3 linked regions of the Schizosaccharomyces pombe genome follow. The protein of the gene in region 2 interacts with the protein of the main gene of each other region in a pairwise test. Each region holds a gene or a part of one and is shown on either strand. Other genes may lie near its edges.

Region 1 (6,747 bases), on a different chromosome or scaffold from region 2:
GCCAATTAAATGCTCATCCAAGGGAAGCCTATAACCCTCTTTATCGTTTAGAGTCTCTACAAACGATCTAGTCATAGACAAAGAGCCAGGTCCCATTCCTTTAAAAAAAGTCAGTCACCGAGAAATATTGTAAAAAAAAGGAAGATTCCGTCCCAGTGCTCTAAATATAAAAAAAATCATTTTCCTTCAAAAGAGCAACGGATTTATGAGAGAGCTTACTCCAATCACTTACCGTCAGAAACCATCATAATAACAAATTTTGGTTTCTCATTGGTCCCTTTGGACTTATGAGACGAGAAAAAATAAAAAAATATAACGGTTGATAAAACAAGGATTAACAGAATTCCATGTTTTATCCAAGTTTTCCAATTTCTACGAGAAGGGCTCTCCGGACCCTCGCCATGCACTGGCAGAAGAGGATCGCGCTCAGATGCCATTGAAAACTATTTAAACGGTAAAAATTGAATATCTCTAAAAGAAGGGATGTCAAAGGGTAAAGATCGTTTCAACGCGTATGACTTGTTGATGGATAGTACAAATTTTTGGTGTTGAAACAGCTCAACCATACATTGCATGACGTCATGGTTTAAAGTATTAACTCTCCATGTCGATCCTCGCTATCTTAAATCTGATATCGGATAGTATATGCACAAGTTAATCGAGAATGGCAATTCACCAAGTCCACAAGAAATAGCGTGATGGTAAAACTGTCTATATATACATGTAATATCTACTGTCAAATGCAAGTAGCTGTTGAAAATATTAGAATCAGCTGCTGACATGAAAATCCCGTATATCCAAAATTCGATGCAATTACCTTTCGACTATTATTGAGATCTTGTCATTAACGAAAAAAAATATATATAAGCAAATGAGTTGTGAACAGAAAATAAACAAACAAGTAAAGGACTGAACTGTTACTTGAAAATAAAGTACAGTGTTTAAAGTAGAAGACACATTGATGACTTATGATGGCAGTGAATTTTGAGGGTAATAATAATAAGAAGACAGCATTTTAAATCAGTGCGATATTAAAGGATCAATTGTTTTATTTACTTCATTGTTCATATGAACTTAAACATTATTTATATTTTTATTGTACAAAGAACGTGAAATGGAACTTTTGGAATAAAGAGTAGCTAATCAGGAATTAACATTTGGGAATTCCTAACCATCCAGGTATCGAAACCAATCCTTAAGCTAAAGATTAAACATACAAATAGCATTATTTTTTTGAACGACGGTAACTTCATAAAAACCCAAACAACCAAGTCTTCAAAAAATAATTTAACTGGATCATATAGCTGTGGAACAAATTTTTTCAAAAACCAGAAAATTAAAAAAATGTGGGTGCAAACACTGAGAACAGTGCTTGCAGTCTCCCATCACATACCACTTAGCAGTCCATTGGCATATGCCATTGGGCGAATGTTAGGATGGGGAACGGCTTCAAATTGGTGGAAATCCAACTCCATGTCTTCCTTAACTTTAATTACGGCACCAAGATTTCCGGTACTATCACAATAATTAGGAGCACTAAACACAGTAATACAATAACCATCGTGCTCAACTTCGTAGCCTTGATCTCTGACTTCATGAGAACGGATCACTGCTTTAAGACCATTAGCCTCGCAAAAACGTTTTGAAACATCAGGGCCGAATTGTAAACCCACCCCACGTTTCGATGGTCCTCGTCCTGGAGCAGGTTGTGGATCGGTCCAAAGCATTTCCATCATTAACCCAGATTGTCCAGGTTGCTTTTTACTAAATCTATCAATGTTTCGTAGTTGGTCTAATGTTACGTTATCATCAGAAAATAGGCCACCATGTACAACAAGATAAGAATCGGAAATTAGGGAACCAAGAGGTAGCAGAGAAAAAGTTTCCGAGAAAATATTAAATGTCCTCTCATTATACTTACTACGACATTCACCTTCGAATCCGTAGACTTTGTTCATATCGTCAGTTTCGTGATTACCGCGATTGATGAAAACAGCGTCCGGATATAATAACTTATATGCATAAAGAGTAAAAGCGACTTCAGTGGACCACGAACCACGATCGACAAAGTCACCATTGAATAAATATTTGTTAGTAGGGCTTGGAGGACCATGAAGTTTGAAAATGTTTAACAAGTCAAAATACTGGCCATGGGTGTCACCGCAGATAACCAATGTCTCATCCCCTTTAACAGGAATGTCAATTAAAGAAGGAGTTTTTTCAAGTAATTCTTTTAAGTCTCGCAATATGCTATATGCAAATTTTAGGGGGAGTTTTTTACCTTGGCAAAAGCGTTCCTTCATGTCTTCAACAAACTCTTTCGTTATTTGCTTTTCTAATATTACACCATCATAGTCAGAAGGAATGTCCATGTCTTCAATGTTGATATTCGCAAGTGGTGAAGGAGGTTCAGTATTATGAATAGCCTCCTGAAAACGAATCCTTTTGACCAATTGCTCACATTCACGAAGCTTTTTACGAGCAGCTGGATCACTGGGTGCTAGTGCCAATGCCTTTCGGAAGTCACCGACAGCCTCTTTGGGTTGAAAAATAGCAATATGAGCAGTAGCTCGACGAAAATATGCCTTTGCATATTCGGGGTCGCATTCAATAGCTTTGGAAGCATCATTGATTGCCAGACCATAATCCTCTGACTTTAAATGTGCAAGAGATCTATTGGAGTAAAGAATTGCGTTTGTAGAATCAAGCTCAATGGCTTTTGTATACAAATCTATAGCTTGAACGATATGTCCCTCTTTTAGAAACTTGTTGGCTTCATTTTTTAATTCCAATGCTTCTTTAGCCATTTTATTGAGCAAAAAGTACAAATTCAAGCCCTTGTGAGTTTTTGTTTGGTGGTTGATAGTAGCTAAAAAAGTTTTTATCTGTCCGAACAATGCAGCTTAATAATTGGTAGTATTGGGCTACAAAGAAACAGATATTTAGGATTCTCAAAGATCAAAATGATATTTTTAGAACAACAAATTAATGGCTTTATAAATGCAAACTTTGCAACGCAGCATACATATTAAAAAATAAATACAGAATTTACACAATGTTTTACATTAGAAATCTCAAAAACTTACAAGCGTAATAAAAGCAGTTTCTATGAAGTGTGTCTATTCATTTATCTACGAAATAAAATGACTCGAAACTTATAATACATCAATACATCTCAGATGAGAAAAACTTACAAGGCAATCATTATGTAAAGGAAATAACCATTGTTTTCTAAACACAAGTGATACCGGACAATCTTCGTATAGTTCAAAGAAAGATAACAAAAGCAAACGAGCTGTATCCTTCTCGTCTCAAGCACAACGAGTAGAAAGTACAAAGAGAACGTTATATTGATGTTATTCGATCTTGTCTATATTCCAAGATACCCAAATATTTTTTTTTCCTTTTTTAAGATCTGAGCAATCATCTATCAAATGAAATGATGATATAAGTCATTAACAATTTCCAAAGCGGAAAAAAACTGTTTCGTATCGACATGCTCAAGAGGTAGAACTCATCGAGAAGAAAGTGAACTATGTAGAAATGAAAAAAGACTACGAAGCGTTAGAATTTAAAAATTAAATATTCTTTTAAAGAATAACAAGGCCAATGGCTCAATTTAATGTTTTTTCTCAGTATCCATCCAAGCCAAAGTACGACGAATTCCTTCCTCCAAATCCACAATGGGATGGTACTTCAAAACATCTTCTGCCTTTTGAATGTTAAAGTAACGGTTAGCACAACTAAATTGGACACGGAAACGTGTAAAGCCAGGTTCCTTTTTCAAGAAATAACAAACCCATTCAGCAGCAGTGGCTAAGAGCATACCCACCGGTCTAGGGAATTTGATGATATAAGGGGGAACGTGTCCTGCATGTGCCCAAATAGCACGTGCAAAGTCCCAAAAGTAAATAACCTGTCCATTGGTAATGAAAAAGACTTGGCCATTGGCAGTAGGATTACTAGAAAGTAAATTGTCCATAGCCAGAAGATGAGCATAGGCAGCGTTTTCGATGTAGGTAAAATCAAAAAGATTCAAATTATCACCCAATTGAAATTTGGTTTGTCCATTCTTTAAAACAGAAAGCATACCAGGGACGAGTTGGCGATCACCTGGACCAAATAAACCAGCAACTCTAAGGGCAGCAGTTTTTAAAGATTCAGAACTTGCCTCCAAGACTTGTTTTTCTGCCAAAGCTTTGGACTCGTTATAGGCATCCATATGAACTTCTGGGATGGGCTGGGACTCATCCACATTGATAAGGTCAGCACCATTGAAAACTACACCTGCGGAACTAGTATAAACAAGGGCATCAACATTAAATTTCTGGCATGCTTTGATGATATTCGCTGTGCCATCTACGTTCACTTCAAAGTAAATATCACGAGCAAGGTTATGCACAGGTGAAGCAGTGTGAATAACTACGCGTGGATGAAATTCCTCAAAAACACGCTCAATATCACCTTGTTTCGTTAAATCACCCGTATACATGGTGAATTGACCATGAAGCTCGTGTAGCAACTTTTCATTTTCAAAGAGATCAAATGCAGCAATTCGAAGATTTTCACGTTCGCACAGCTGCCGTATGATATGACCTCCTAAAAATCCACTTCCAATAACTAACACGGAATTCATCGGCATTAAAAAAATACAAGAATAAACGATTGTCTGGTTCTTGCCAGGTATTCGACGTTACACCATATCGAGAAATGAGTGAGCTTATTTGCTACCTGTGTTTTTGGGGTGTAGGCTAGATGCAATACACTAACCATGATTAGCGAGAAAGAGAGCAGCTGTTGAATATGGAACATGGGTTAGAGGATAGTAGCCGATTGAAACTCTATTAGTACAATATGTAGTACGCACTTAGAAAACAGAAAAATTAAGTGAGTAACATCTCGAGTACCATTACAAGAAAACGATGACCTCCCGACCTCGTACCGTTCACATCTAAAACTGGCCTATTGTAAAGCAATGCTGCGTGCTACCTTAAAGCTCGATAATGTTGATAGCAGCCAAAACCCAATTTTCGTACTTTCTTCGTTGAACGTTAAACCAATTTATTATTTATAAATTCTATCGTTATACCTTTTATCAAATCACAATATTCAGCGTAAAACATTTTTCCTCGTTGGTAACCTTAATAAATAAATTATTAAGCAGTGTTGATCGCAGGAACAGCAAATTTTTCTTTTTTGGGTTGTAAACGACTAAAATTTGTTTCCTTGAAATTACTTTTCGCAATTGTTTTTTCTAGGCTACACCAATCGCACTTGAATCATACTTGTTTTTGGTTAAAACCTTAGTAAGGCAAGTAGCCCAGCACGGCTACATTGAGAATTTTGCTTTCTGCGCGTCTCTTTGACAATTTGTTTGGATTGTGGAGGCTTAAACTCTTAACTAACAAAAACGTGGATTTTTCTTGTCGAGTTCTTTCTATTGTACTAGCATAGGTCAGTCGTCTTTCATGTACAAAGCGTCGCTTACTCATGGCTTTGGTGGTTCGTCCATTTATCGTGGCCTCACTAATTCTCGACATTCCTATACCCTCTTCTACCATGTTGGCATTAAATTTGCTTACGCGATATCGGTGTCTCGTTCTGCCACTGTTAATCTAAGCGTTCGCACTTTTACGAATGTCTCGAACGAGTCTCATTATTCATCGCTAGTAAGCACACCATTTCCCAGGGCTCTATATAAGAATCAATTTACCCACTACCACCATATCGCATTCCTTCGATACTTCAGGACATTCTTTCCTTATCAGAAATTTAGCTTCTATAAAGGCATACCCGATTCTTTTAAGAAATCTTTGAAGTTAGGATCTATTTATTCCCCTTTAAAACAAACATATTTCTCTACAAATACTCATATCAATAGTAAGTGAAACGAAAAACGTGCAGGAAATGTGACGGCGATGAAGTCGAACCCAACAAAAAAAAAATTATTACCTAAAAATAAAACTAATTCGGTGATGAATTTTTTTCTTTTTTTTTGTTGATTAGTAGGAAACTTTTTTATTTCCGAACTCACGTGTAAGATTGGGTTTCATCTGTTTTTTTATCATTGTTCGATAATGGTTATCTTGTGTTCTTTCAGCTTTTCTATCCTTCTCGCCTTACAACATTAACGTTTATCTTTTTTTGTTTTGTTTTTTTAATTTTACTGACTTCATTAGTGACTCACAACAAGGTTGTTATTATTGGGTCTGGTCCCGCCGGCCATACTGCAGCCATCTATCTCGCCCGTGGTGAGCTTAAGCCCGTAATGTACGAAGGTATGCTTGCCAACGGTATTGCTGCTGGTGGTCAGCTTACTACTACCACCGATGTCGAAAACTTTCCTGGTTTTCCCGATGGTATCAATGGTACTACCCTTACTGAAAACTTCCGCGCTCAATCTTTGCGTTTTGGAACTGAAATTATTACCGAGACTGTTTCCAAATTAGATCTTTCTTCTCGCCCTTTCAAGTACTGGTTGGAGGGTGCTGAAGAGGAAGAGCCTCATACCGCTGACAGCGTTATTTTGGCTACTGGTGCTTCCGCTCGTCGCCTTCACATTACTGGTGAGGATACTTATTGGCAAGCAGGTATATCTGCTTGTGCTGTATGTGATGGTGCCGTTCCCATTTATCGTAACAAGCCTCTTGCTGTCGTTGGTGGTGGTGACTCTGCTGCCGAAGAGGCCCAGTTTTTAACAAAGTATGGTAGCAAAGTTTATGTCCTTGTGCGCCGTGACAAGCTTCG
Region 2 (7,399 bases):
ATTGATTGTCATTACATTCCTCGTAGAACTTTTGCTTGCCAGACAGAACCTCTTTAAATAGACCAGTTCTTACTTCATGTCATGAAAATTTCCTTGTTGGACATTGGCCTAAATAGCATGTTTAGCCACTTCTAAGAATTTCCACTTGCGCTGATCTATACACTCGGAAGCAAAATTCGTTGAAACCGAGGATAGGTTTATTCAGTATTAGTCGATAAACATAGAAGCGCTTTGTCGGGAAAAATGTTATCTTTGTCCGTCGCATCGTTTAACCGTAATTCGCTTAAAATATTTACACTATTCTAGCAGTGGCTTAACTTTTGTCAACACAATAAAATTACTTTTAAGTTAGTGGTTTAAGCCTATGAATACATTTAGAAAAGGATAAAGGTACTCTTAACGACTCCATTAGATTGATCTGTTTGTAAGTAGATAAATAGATAGAATACTCTCGCTTGTTAATTACTTTTATGTACAATAAGCTTTCAACAGCTCCATTCATTGATGAATGTAATTTGTACTTTAAATAATAAAAATAAAGTTAAATATTGAAGATTTTTTATTTCATTGGGGAATGCAAACACCCAACTAATTATTTCAAGACATACGGTGATGACAATCTGTCGATACTACTATCATCAAGAAGTTTAGCGAACCTCACTAGTCAAATTTGTACAAATTCCGCGGCAATGGGAAAGAATGCGTTGAGTATATATGGTAAGTTACTGACAATCAGAAGTTAAAATAAGCAAACTAAATTGAATTTACTTTGGTTGTAGTTTTGCAGAGATGTGACAACTCCATAGTTGTACGTATATCAATTCATAGTGTTGTTGTTTGTCAATTACTTTGATTGATTATGATCGTCTAGTTTATGATTGCAAATGCTAATTGCTCTAATGACATTAGTCGGACATCACCATTAATGGATAGAAGTAACGGCTAAGCTAAAAACTCAGATTTTTGTAAATGTCAATGTACTAAATTGATGTCAATTAAACTATTGCTAACCTTATTCATCTCTTTAAAATTACTTCAAAATAAAAAAAGAGTAGCAGGAGACTTTAATATCCCCAACACTAAAGTAATACAAAGTCGCCTTTACTATAATTTCATGTCTTTACTATACAAATGAATACCGCACAAAACGCAAGTTAAATTCATCAAATGTCATGAAAATAAATTAAGTAAGTATTGCTAAAACTTTGGAATTATTGGCAAATGCACCAAGAACCTCCAGCAATTTCTTTTTCATAATCGTCAAAAAGTCTTTGCTTCTCGTTACTCATCTTATGGGTAGTAAAAGGAACATTCTTTGGAATAGCACGAATACTGTTTAAAACTAGTTCATAGTCGCCACTTTGGGAATTAAAAAAGCTTCGAATCATAATTGAAAACTGAGTGATCTTGCTAACGTCAAGCTCCGGGGCTCCTTCTACAGGTCGACCACGATAAGTCGGTTTAAATTCGGAAAACGGAATTGAAACAACTTGGTCTTCCTTAGAATATATAGGTGTAAAGTCGTATTCATATGATAAACTTGACTTCTCATCAGAAGTTTCCCAATCTTGATGACAATCCTTAATGATAAAAGTATATTTATAAGAATCGCTCTTAGCAATATCGAGCTCAATTCCTTTAAACTCTTTCAGGTTCCACGTCCTATCCTTGATATTAGTAGCCTGACTACAGAATCCAGCGCCTCCCAAGGTCTTAGTATCAAGAGTGCCCCAAAACTTGGCGCGAGATTTCCCATCACTATCCTTCTCCTCAGTGAGATGACTTATCGAAGAGCCTCCACGAACCCTATCATCTACAGCACGAAAATCCTGCTCATGCCAATTTTCTGGCTGACCAAAAAGAACAAGCATTTCTTTTTAATGGAGTAATGTTCAACAGCGGTGGATATATGAGTATTTTGTATTCAATAACAAAGGCAAAGGAAAGATATGAAGCCTACTTATTGAATATATCTGCCAAAAATTGAATGATATAGGAAGGCGGTCCATGATGCATAATTACTTCATATGCTACTGATGAAAATTTAACGAGAAAAAGAATTTTGTGCCATAAAATTACTACAACCGTAATGCAGGGAGTTTTGTTAAATATGCAAGGAAATCAGTTTAAATGATATAATACAAAGAATAAACATGTAAAATTAGAAGCAGAGAAAGAAAAAATATTTAAACCGTTTAGGATTTCAAAGCATCTAGCTTATCACGAATGTCCAACAATTGTTCTTCATCAATTTCAGTAGAGTCTTTAGCAATCCCATTGGATAAAGATGGAAGTGCTTGTTTGAGTGATTGTTCACGATGTGTAGCAGCATCCGCTGCTTTTTCTGAAGGTGCAGGAATGACATTATATTTTGTAAGAATTTCTTGGACTTCCTCATCCTCATCAGCCAAATCCATCAATTCTTCATCGTCTTCTACTGGTAGAAACATTTCATCACGCATTTCCTCTAAGACACCTGCCTTTGTAAGTTCCATAGACAGATTTCTCATAGTTTCCGAGAGTTGGGGAAGACGAATTAAAGATGATACATCTTGCATTATCTTTGTGCTGGATTGCATAGTACCTTGTATCTTTAACATAGCCATCTGGTCATTCAGTTGTAGACTTAGGCTTCCTAATAAAGCTTTTGATTCGGCGAGTCTTTTACCATGTCGGTTTGCACGGGCAATTTCTTTAGCCAATATACGCATATTTGTAATATCAGATTGCTTTGCCAATTGTTTCAGCTGAACCTCTGCCTTTTTCCTGCCTGCTTTAAGATGGTATACCTGCCGATCTAGTTGTCGTTGTTCTTTTCGAATGATGGATTGCCATTTTCTGTTTTGTTCTTGAGGCGTCGGACCAAAGAAATAAGATCTTACAGTTTGCATTTTGATAATAAAATATGAGAAATGCTGGGTGATAGGAAAAAATGGATAAACACGTAAATTCCCCGTTTACCAATTAAAAAAAAAACAAAAACGATGGATGATTATGCAATAATACAAGGAAAGAAAGTTATGAAAAACAAAACTGACACAAATCTCTCTAAAAAAATGATACTGAAACCGAAATGATATGAAACCTTTAAAAAAAGTCTTACTTCTTCAATTGTTCAAACGAAGAATCCTCAAATCAGCGTAAACCGAATAGTCCTCAAATAGAGTACATCAAGTTGGTCTTTTCAATTTATGAATTGATTAAAAAAGCGGCTTCTAGGATTTTAAAATCCCGTTTTACAAGAAATCAATTAATTGATCAGCTTCTTGACAATTGACGTTAAACAGACTCAATTTTCTAAAATCGATCAACAAGGATAACTATTAAAACTGCAATTTAACAATTTTATTCCCTAGACGCTTCTGGCACAGTCTTGAATACTTGAGCGTATGTTCTAGAAAATACCGTACCCAGTGACTTATAGTTCACTATATAATGTAGGTGACTTCAAGAACCTGCACTAGACAAACCACTTTAGCAGTTCACAGTTGAAAAGTTTCAACATAAAATTACCATATTGAACCTATTATTTACCTATACTTTTTATCATTAAAGAATGAGTTTAAATACACAAATTCCTGAAGGTATGTTACAACAAAAATCCGTAACACCTTATACTGCGAAGAATCTGAGACGAGAATAAGCCGAATAATTCTCGTTTGAAGATAGTATTTTCTTCGGTTTCTTCACATAAAATATTTGATTAGCGGTTTTGTATATTCTGTTTTCCAATGTACATTTATTTGCGTGTTTTATTAGTGCTTGTTACTAACATTCGTTTAGTTTTATGGGCACAAAGATCCAATAAGGATGATGCTGAAAAGAACGTAATTTACCTCACCGTTTTAATTCCGGATGCTGTTGACCCAAAAATTAATTTGACACCTGAAAAACTAGTTATCGATAGCAAATCTGGAGCCAACGCTCATTACGCAGTTCAAATTGACTTTTTTAAGGACATTGATGTCGAGAAAAGCAAGTACTCTGTTACCGGCCGCTACATCTTTTTCGTCTTATACAAGAAGGAATTACAAGAAGAGTTTTGGCCTCGTCTTACTAAAGAGAAACTTCGATTACACTGGCTCAGAACGGATTTTGATCGTTGGGTTGACGAGGATGAGCAAGAAGCACAACCTGAAGTTAGTCCATTTGGCGCAGGTGGCATGCCAGATTTGAGCGCACTTGGAGGTATGGGCGGTATGGACTTCAGTCAATTTGGTAACCTTGGAGGAGCTGGAGCTGGTGAAGATGCTAGTGACAGCGAACCTGAACTCGAAGAGGAAGAGGAAGTTGGCAGTAACGAAAAGAAAGAGTAATAATGTTATCATGTAATCAGTCTTAAAATGCATCCATTTTATCTTTTACGTTTCATACAAAATTGCAATCAACCTTTTTGTGAGGTGGAGCGGAGCAAATTTGAGCTGCGTTGACAGTTTTTTATTAAAAACAGTAAACTAAAGTACCATCTTCTACCTATATGGCTGAATATATTGATTAGGAAATGTTTGTTCCCAATACAGATATGTTGCTCATGTATTAAGACCCGTACGAATTGCATACTTTAATGATTATATGTCAAATTCTATTCCTGAATGGTTTCATATTATGATTTTATATAGAATGTTTAGTTAGTCATATGAAATTTACTAGCTCACATCTGCATATAAAAAACTTTATTTTCGTAGTCATGTACTTCAGAACCGTCGAACATCATTTTAAGTTACTCAGATAGATATTAATTTAATATCAATATAAATTTTAAACAGAGTCATTTAATTGAGGTAATTTACCAAATGTAAAATAAACAAAAAAATAATTACGCCGGGGTGTGTTTTTTTTCGGCAACATATGCTTTTCTGTTTACCATCACCACAGCATAATATCTCTCATTAACTCCTTCAATTACCCGAGGCAATTAGACATTTATTTTTTAACTCTTGACCACAAAGTAATTAAATACTGAATTTGATGAATAATTCCTAAACGATTGATTGTTAGTTGTTTGCATTGTTAATTTTATTAATTACGATTGCCCTAATCGTTGCAAAATCCTCTATTTATTTTTCCCTCCCATTGGACATTTTTGGACTTATGTTTATTGACCTTGGACTTTTTATTGCTTAACATTTTAGGTCGTTTGAGGTTTTTATCCCATTAGAATTTTTTTTTTGTAGACTTTGCGACTTGTGATGAAAATGTTTCAGTCTTTTTTTTCAAATTACATAGATATAAATTTTTTTAGAAATGCAACGTTAGACCAATGTCTACTGCTTTTTTACCTTTCTTTGTTTTCCCTTACAAATTTGTTCCTTATTCAAAAACTATTTCATGCCAATCACACCCAACACCCCTTAAAAAAATACTTTGGAGAAACATGTTTGTTAGAATACATTCAAATTATCCTATCTATTGTCTCTGCCGCACTTTCATTTTACTTGGACACTAATGCTGTTTGGTGGGCAATACGAACTATTACCCATTTGGAGATCGTTGGTTTAAACATTTTGTCATCTTTAAAATATGGATCAACCCTGTTTTCCTGGATTTCGGTAGCAAATGCTTTTGGGCTTCTTTTACTAAGACTGATAAGCATCTATGATTTTCTAACCTATTCATCCTGGAGCTTTTCAGTTAAAGGCGGATCCTTTCTTCTCCTGCTTCCTTTAGCTTATAACATTACTTTATTTTTGCTTGTCATAATTCCTCTCTTTTTTCCAAGAGCGTGGAGCCCGACCGTTAAGTTTTCCAAGGTTGCTCGCCCGTCTCCTGAACAAACATGTAGTATATTTTCTTTGATTTTTACTTACGGATGGTTAAACGGTATTATATGGAAATCGTGGAAAAAACCTATTACCCTCACTGATGTTCCTGCTCTTCCTGACACCGAGTGTACCCAGATTTGGTACAGCCGGTTCGCCAAGAATGATAGAAAATCACTTATGCATACAATCCTTTTATCCCTTAAATCAACAATTCTATTGATGGTTTTTTTGTCCGTTCTCGTCAGTTCAACATTATTTGTCACTCCTCTTGCTATTAAAAAACTTTTGCAATATTTACAAAACCCGAAGAGTGATGAAGGAAACAGCCCTTTTTTATGGGTTTTTGTACTCCTGATCGGTCCTTATTTGGCATCTGTTGTAAAGGAACTTTACGTTCATGTTTCCAGAAGGTTTATGTTGAGAATTAAGGCTGCCATTACTCAAATGATCTACAAAAAAGTGCTTACCTCGAAAACGCTTTTTGTTGCAGTAGATGGATCAAAAATCAATTTGGATTACGTTTACAATCTTCTTGCCAAAGACGTTGATAATATTGGAGAGATGAGGGAATTTATTGGAATAATCGCTCGAGCTCCTTTGGAGATGGGCGTTTCGATGTACTTTTTGTATCAGCTTCTTGGCTGGAGTGCTTATGTTGGCCTTCTACTTGCCATTCTCAGTTCAAGTTTTCCGTTATTAGTTGCATCAAAAATATCTCGCTTAACTTCGATTGCAAATACATCCAGCGATGAAAGAATTCGTTTGACCACAGAGCTCCTTAAAAGCATTAAGATCACAAAACTTTTTGGATGGGAGCGTCCAATGCTGAGCCGCATCCAGGAAAAGCGTTCTTTTGAGGTAAACAATATGTATTCCTTAACCTTGTTTGATATTATATTTAAATCAGGAATGAAAATAGCTCCTTTTATTAGTATGTTCATTACTTTTGCTATATATACTAAAATTATGGGGCATCAGCTAACTCCCGCTACTGCCTTTACTTCTATTTCTATGTTTGGACTTTTGAGGTATCAATTCATTTGGCTAGCTAGTGTTTCACGGCAGTTTATTCAGTTCAAGGTATCTTTGAAGCGCGTTGATAACTTCGTGTACGGCAATATGGTAAATGATAGTTCAATCGAAAGTTCTGATAGTTTTGTTTTTGAAAACACTTCGCTATCTTGGTCACCTACCCCTTCTACTGCTCTGTTTCAGCTGAAAAATTTAAACTTTACCATTCCAAGAAACCAATTTACTCTTGTGGTCGGTTCAACAGGTTCTGGGAAGTCAACGTTAGCTATGGCATTACTTGGTGAGTTGCATGTTATATCTGGAAAAATGACAACTCCCTCGATTAGCCAGCGTATTGCGTATGTTCCACAAGCTGCGTGGTTAAGAAATGGTACAATTCGATCCAACATTTTGTTCGGTGAGCCTTACGATGAAGAAAGGTACTTTCAAATAATCAAGGCGTGCTGTTTAGACTCGGATTTAAATAGTATGAATGATGGGGATTTAACATATATTCATTCAAACGGTTCTTCGTTATCGGGAGGACAGAAGCAAAGAGTTTCACTTGCACGCGCTTTGTATTCGAATGCTGAAGTATACATTTTCGATGATATTTTCTCCGCTTT
Region 3 (5,373 bases), 910 kb from region 2:
AAAATCGGTACGCAACCGTTAAAAAAGATATATACGATAAAATCAAGAGATTGTTAAGAACTGAAGTATTTAGCCTTAATATTCAAATAAGGAAAATAGAAAAATTTGCTTAACTTTCTATACAATGGAAGGATGGATGGTTTGGTGGTGAAAGCTGAGTTAGAGAGTATGATATGCTACGCCAACTGATCAAGATACATACTGGCAATAAGATGGATGTTATTATAAATCCACTTGGCGAATAATTTCATACTCCCCAAAGGTATTAATATGAAATTGATATTATTCCCTTTAATTAAGTTAAGTATGCATAGTTGAAACACAACATCAAGTATCTCTTCAGTAAAACTTTCTAATTTCCAAAAATTTTGATATTTCAATCGTTGTCAATGAAATCAAAACAGTCAAGTAAGCAAAATAGGCTGTTATTGTTACATGATGGACAAAAAAGTAATGACTACAAATTGATGCTTTCTCTGGTTACACAATTTTTGTACAGACTTTACTAGGAGATAAATTCTTACAGAAAAAATGATATTAGTAAATAATAAATAGAGAAAAACAACCAAAACCGAGATACATATTTTTATTAAAAAACAACGTTACGAGATAAAAGGAGAATTGATCAAGAAAGCTGTTTGACAAATTCATCAATTCTTTGCATTCTCTTGCTTGTTCTTCTTCCATGAAGAGATCCAGTCAGATGCCAAATGGTGAGGCACAACATGCAACTGTACAAGACCATCAATAAGTGTAACTTTGGGATGAGTTAGAGCCTTTAAAATAGGAACATTCTTCCCAACTTTGATTAAACCGAGAGTATCTGTGGTAGCAAAAACATCAAGGCTATCGGGATTATACAGTTGATGGACGTCCCATGGTGCAGGCGATTGGAAAACCGTTTTCAACAACTCTAAAGGAGTACAATTTTCCGAGACAGATGGTACAAAATCAGATTGATAAACAAGTGGATAAAGTAATATGGTTGGAAAAAATAGCTCACTTTTAGGGTCATCAAAAGTAGAGAGAGAAATCATGGCGTCTCCTAGGTCAGGAGGATGCTCAGTAGTTTTTGTTTTTATATGCCTTTCTTGTAGCGCTAATAGAACCGTCTTTGCAGCAATTACCTTTTCTTGTGCTACCCTTTTCTTTTCAGATTCTCTCTTTTCAAAATCGTCTGACTTCTTCTGCAATTCTTTGGACAATGCTAGAATGGCAGGATCATTAGGATGAACTAATGAGCACAAGCGGATACATTCTTTTGCCTCATCATAACGTTTTAAAGCAACAAGAGCCTTGGCAGATCGGTAGTAGGCTTTTGCGTGGGTTGAATCACGTTGAAGAACCTGAGCACAGTCGTTTAATACTTGTCGATAATTTTCAAATAACAAATTACAAGCAGCTCGATTGGAATAACAAGCAATCTCAATATCTTTGTCGCCGCACTTTTGAGCTAATGCCTTTGTGTAAAACTCTTCTGCATCTTTATAGCGTTTTGAGGCAAAGCATTCATTTCCATGTTCGCGAAAATTTTGAGCTACTTCATGCGGCTCCCCTTCGTATGCCAGCGCTTTAAGCGCATCTAACTGAACATTATTTTCACTTTCATCCCCGACATCTTCAAGAGATTGCATGAAGAAGGGGACTTTGTTGAGTTCGTTGAACATCTCCTCTGCATTTTTATTCTTTGTATTAGGATCAACTTCAGATGATTGGAACCCAGCCATATTTATATTTTTCTAAAAATTTTTAAAACCTGTCTCCTTTTATGCCTTAATTGCTGCAACAGCGCGGTGTATCCAGGTTTAAACGAAAGGTGTGGAAGGTCAATTATTGTAGTTGAAAGAAAAAAGAACTACAATCAGAGAAATGGATGACTGCCATAGCTGAATACAGTAATGCAAACAGAAGACCAAGGAAGCGAATAAATTATAATACGATTAATAGCAATAAGAAGGTTTAGCTATGCTCCGCCAATGCTTGGACATCTCAATTCACAATAAAATTCCGAGCTACGGATATTTAAAACATCTCAATTTTATTTCGGTAGAGAAAAACTATTCAGACACCAATGACTACAACAGTGTGTTTGGTGAATTTCGCTGATGAATAGAAGTGATTCCTACTTTTGAAATAAAATCGTGAGTTACATATTAGCATTTATATAATTAGCTGGAGAGAGAAAATTACTAAATATATTAATATTTATTTAAATTCTTGATTTTTTAAAGTCGAGTACACGCTAATATCGTTTAGGGTATATAATGCAAATATAAGTTTATCAGCAAAGCAAAATTGACATGCGATGTATCAAATTCAATATGTAAATTACAACAGAAGTCTAATATGACTAATTTTAATTATTTAAAAGGGATTTTCTCTTATTCAATGGATCTTATAAGATTCACATGCCGATCCAGCGCAGTAATGTTTACATTTGAAAGATGTGGAAAAAATATTACATTCAGATCAGCGATCCGTTTCAGTGAGTCTTTAGACAGTTTCCTAAACTACGAACTTGTCATTAAAAAAGAAGGGAATCTAGGAAGGAGCATAACTTGTTTTTCAAGATCTGCGAAAATAGTTTTCTAGGATGCAAAATTAGGTATGTAACGCTTGATCCCTTCAAAAAAAACAGCATGTATTAGCCATGGATTGAGGCTAAATTAAATTTGTACAATGATATTTCCAGCATTACTATTACACAGTTTTTTGTTAGAATTAGATGCCTATTGCTGTAACTGGTTTTATAATAGTAAGATACATATCGCTTTAACAGGGAGTGTTACAAAGGCAGAGATATTTAATAATTAAGGAAATATCCGGTAAAGGAAATGCATATATGCTTATACGAATACTGTTTTATTGTTAATAACATGAAAATGTATAGTGATATGTAGTAGAATGTACCGAGCGACACAACAGTTGCGCAGTGACTCACTATTTGATAAACATGGAAATACTAATATTCATGAACATTATTTATAATGATTAAATCAAGTTGAACTGGGTAATTCATTAAACAAGTTATCATAGCACTTGAAATCGCAATTTACTCCATCTAACTGTATACCTAATTAGCCTTGTCTAATAGATGATCATTCATGCAGGTCTTTGTGATAATCCAGAATCTGTATTGTATAAACATACATGGTTAAGTGAGTTTCATTGAAAGTTACGATCAATATAAGATCATAATAACCAAACGTAAAAGGAAGTCGTAAAAAACCAAAGCTTTAAGTATCTCCATGCCTAGCAAAGCACAACTCCCATAAATTAAATGCCTTTTATAGAAATTAAGAACAATATATGTTTGTTTTTATGCAGCATTTGTATATCGACATTTTAAAAAAAATATGACCCCTAAGTGACTTGAACACTTGACTTTGAGATTTGGAATCTCACACTCTACCAACTGAGTTAAGGGGCCTAATCGACATCATCATATTAATTAACTAATATATAATGAATAAAAGAAAAATGATATTATGCTCTAAAAGATTTTACAATGATTTGATATCCACAGATGAAATACTTTATAGAGATAATTTGAGTGAATTAATGTGTTTTCAAGTCGGTCAATTTTTTTGCTAAGGAGAAAGTCAACATGCTTATAAAAAGGTCAAGAAGTACTGTGTAAGGCAATATTATTCTCTTTATTCGCGTTCAAATCTTATATAAGATAATATTATTACTAAAGAGTATTCTAATAGCTAGTATGAGATGAATCTAATCATTTACCAACTTGTGTAAACAAATTTTATCTTTTTAGAAATTACTGTGTGGTCCTTTAACCCATCATATTATAGAGAAAAATTATTGTTTAAACACTTTGATTTCTAATTTTTCTACTATTAGGGAAAATTGCCAGGCAATTCTTTTTCGCAATGTACTGACTTTTACTTTCCTCAGCGGTTATGACGACGCGTCGGTACTTTGGAATGGAACATTTTTTGCAAGAAAACATTTTGTATTTATTTTTTTTTCTTTTTTGGCATTAATGTTCCATACTCCCGCATACCTAATTGTTTCTTCATTCTGGCATTCGTTTTTTGGGTGTATTCATCTAAATACTACCACTATTCGTAAGCTTTTATAACGATGATTAAAGGTCTTCCACTCCTAACTCGATCGTACCAAATGCAGACAGCATCTAACCACGAATAATCGGATTCAATAAGTCCGTGTTTATTTGCTTTCTGTTAAAAAATAGCTGCTTTTCTCTTCGATGCCTTTATCTTAGGAAGGAAACGCAAACGTTGAAGCGATTTTCTTTAATGTTCCTTTCAAATCACTAATATTCGCAAATTGAATTTATCGTAAGATTCCAAAAAATGCGATGCTTAACGATTTATACATGGACTTTTAGGCGTCTTCCTTTCATACCCTCTACAAACTCAGCGTCTTTTTTTAGTACATTGAGATTCAACATGTCCACTGCTAACAATACTCAAGCAATTGTCATTGGTGGCGGTCTTGCTGGCCTTTCCGCAACAAATACGATATTAGATCTTGGGGGAAATGTTTTGCTGCTTGATAAAAACAGTAAGTGAAATTGATTATCAAAAATTGTGCAATAGGAAATGAAGCGTAACCTGGAGTAAATTTAGCACTTTCGACACGTATGGATCTTGTTAAGCAATTGGTTTCGAAATAAATCTCAGATATTCAGGATGTCACTTTATCAATACGTCTGGCATATTGTGGTTCTTAATCGGTAAATTCTAATCTCACTGTACTCATGCATGTCCCTTCGTGTATTTCTTTGGTTGACTCATTTCTTTTGTGCTCCTTACTATTTGTCTATATTAAACTATTAATTTCTTCTGTTTGTTATTTTATTAACTAACAATCTTTTAGCTGCTTTTGGAGGAAATAGCGTCAAAGCCGCTAGTGGTATTAATGCTGCTCCTACTCAATTACAGTTCGATCAGCATGTTTCCGACAGTGTAAATACTTTCTATAATGATTCCATCCTCTCCGCAAAGTCCAAGGCAAAACCCGAACTTTTGAGAACCTTGACTTCCAAGTCAAGCAGTGCTGTCGATTGGTTATCCGAACGATTTGGGTTACAAATGGATCAACTTTCTCGTTTGGCCGGCCACTCTGAGCCCCGTACCCATCGTGGTACCCATCCTGACTATCCTTTTAAGCCATTGGCTTTTGTTTTGGTTGATCAAACTGAAAAGTTTGCGGCTAGCCATCCCGATCGTTTACAAATTAAGAAGAATGCTCGTGTAACTCGTCTATTGACAAATCCCAATCACGACAAGGTTTTTGGTGTGGAATACATGGACTTGAGCGATAAAAGTAACCATACTGTTTATGGTCCTGTAGTACTCGCCACGGGTGGATATGCTGCCGATTACAGTG

The links. Proteins that work in one complex are often made in the same cells at the same time.
Region 1: the proteins of wos2 (region 2) and SPOM_SPBC3F6.01C interact in a two-hybrid assay, tested with the Schizosaccharomyces pombe proteins (one large-scale study listed by BioGRID).
Region 3: the proteins of wos2 (region 2) and cns1 interact in a two-hybrid assay, tested with the Schizosaccharomyces pombe proteins (one large-scale study listed by BioGRID).

What each region holds. Positions count from the first base shown.
Region 1 is NC_003423.3:4,184,088-4,190,834, forward strand, and holds SPOM_SPBC3F6.01C (serine/threonine protein phosphatase), read right to left. Parts: upstream 2,872-6,747; 5' UTR 2,808-2,871; coding exon 1,386-2,807; 3' UTR 512-1,385; downstream 1-511. Other genes in the region: pho8 (alkaline phosphatase), read right to left, coding at 1-98, 233-437; erg26 (3 beta-hydroxysteroid dehydrogenase/delta 5-to-4-isomerase), read right to left, coding at 3,620-4,642; thioredoxin reductase Trr1, read left to right, coding at 5,880-5,880, 6,180-6,747. UniProt on the Schizosaccharomyces pombe protein: Protein phosphatase that specifically binds to and dephosphorylates the molecular chaperone Hsp90. Dephosphorylation positively regulates the Hsp90 chaperone machinery.
Region 2 is NC_003424.3:4,465,153-4,472,551, reverse strand, and holds wos2 (p23 chaperone protein wos2), read left to right. Parts: upstream 1-3,462; 5' UTR 3,463-3,556; coding exon 3,557-3,584; intron 3,585-3,783; coding exon 3,784-4,316; 3' UTR 4,317-4,665; downstream 4,666-7,399. Other genes in the region: SPOM_SPAC9E9.15 (protein CIA30), read right to left, coding at 1,212-1,871; ESCRT III complex subunit Vps24, read right to left, coding at 2,196-2,891; abc1 (ABC transmembrane transporter Abc1/Ybt1), read left to right, coding at 5,190-7,399. UniProt on the Schizosaccharomyces pombe protein: Cell cycle regulatory protein that interacts with cdc2 in the control of the M-G1 transition.
Region 3 is NC_003424.3:3,556,397-3,561,769, forward strand, and holds cns1 (HSP chaperone complex subunit Cns1), read right to left. Parts: upstream 1,829-5,373; 5' UTR 1,728-1,828; coding exon 651-1,727; 3' UTR 512-650; downstream 1-511. Other genes in the region: osm1 (fumerate reductase), read left to right, coding at 4,335-4,545, 4,861-5,373. UniProt on the Schizosaccharomyces pombe protein: Co-chaperone that binds to the molecular chaperones Hsp90 and Hsp70. Stimulates Hsp70 ATPase activity, but not Hsp90 ATPase activity. Involved in only a subset of Hsp90 functions.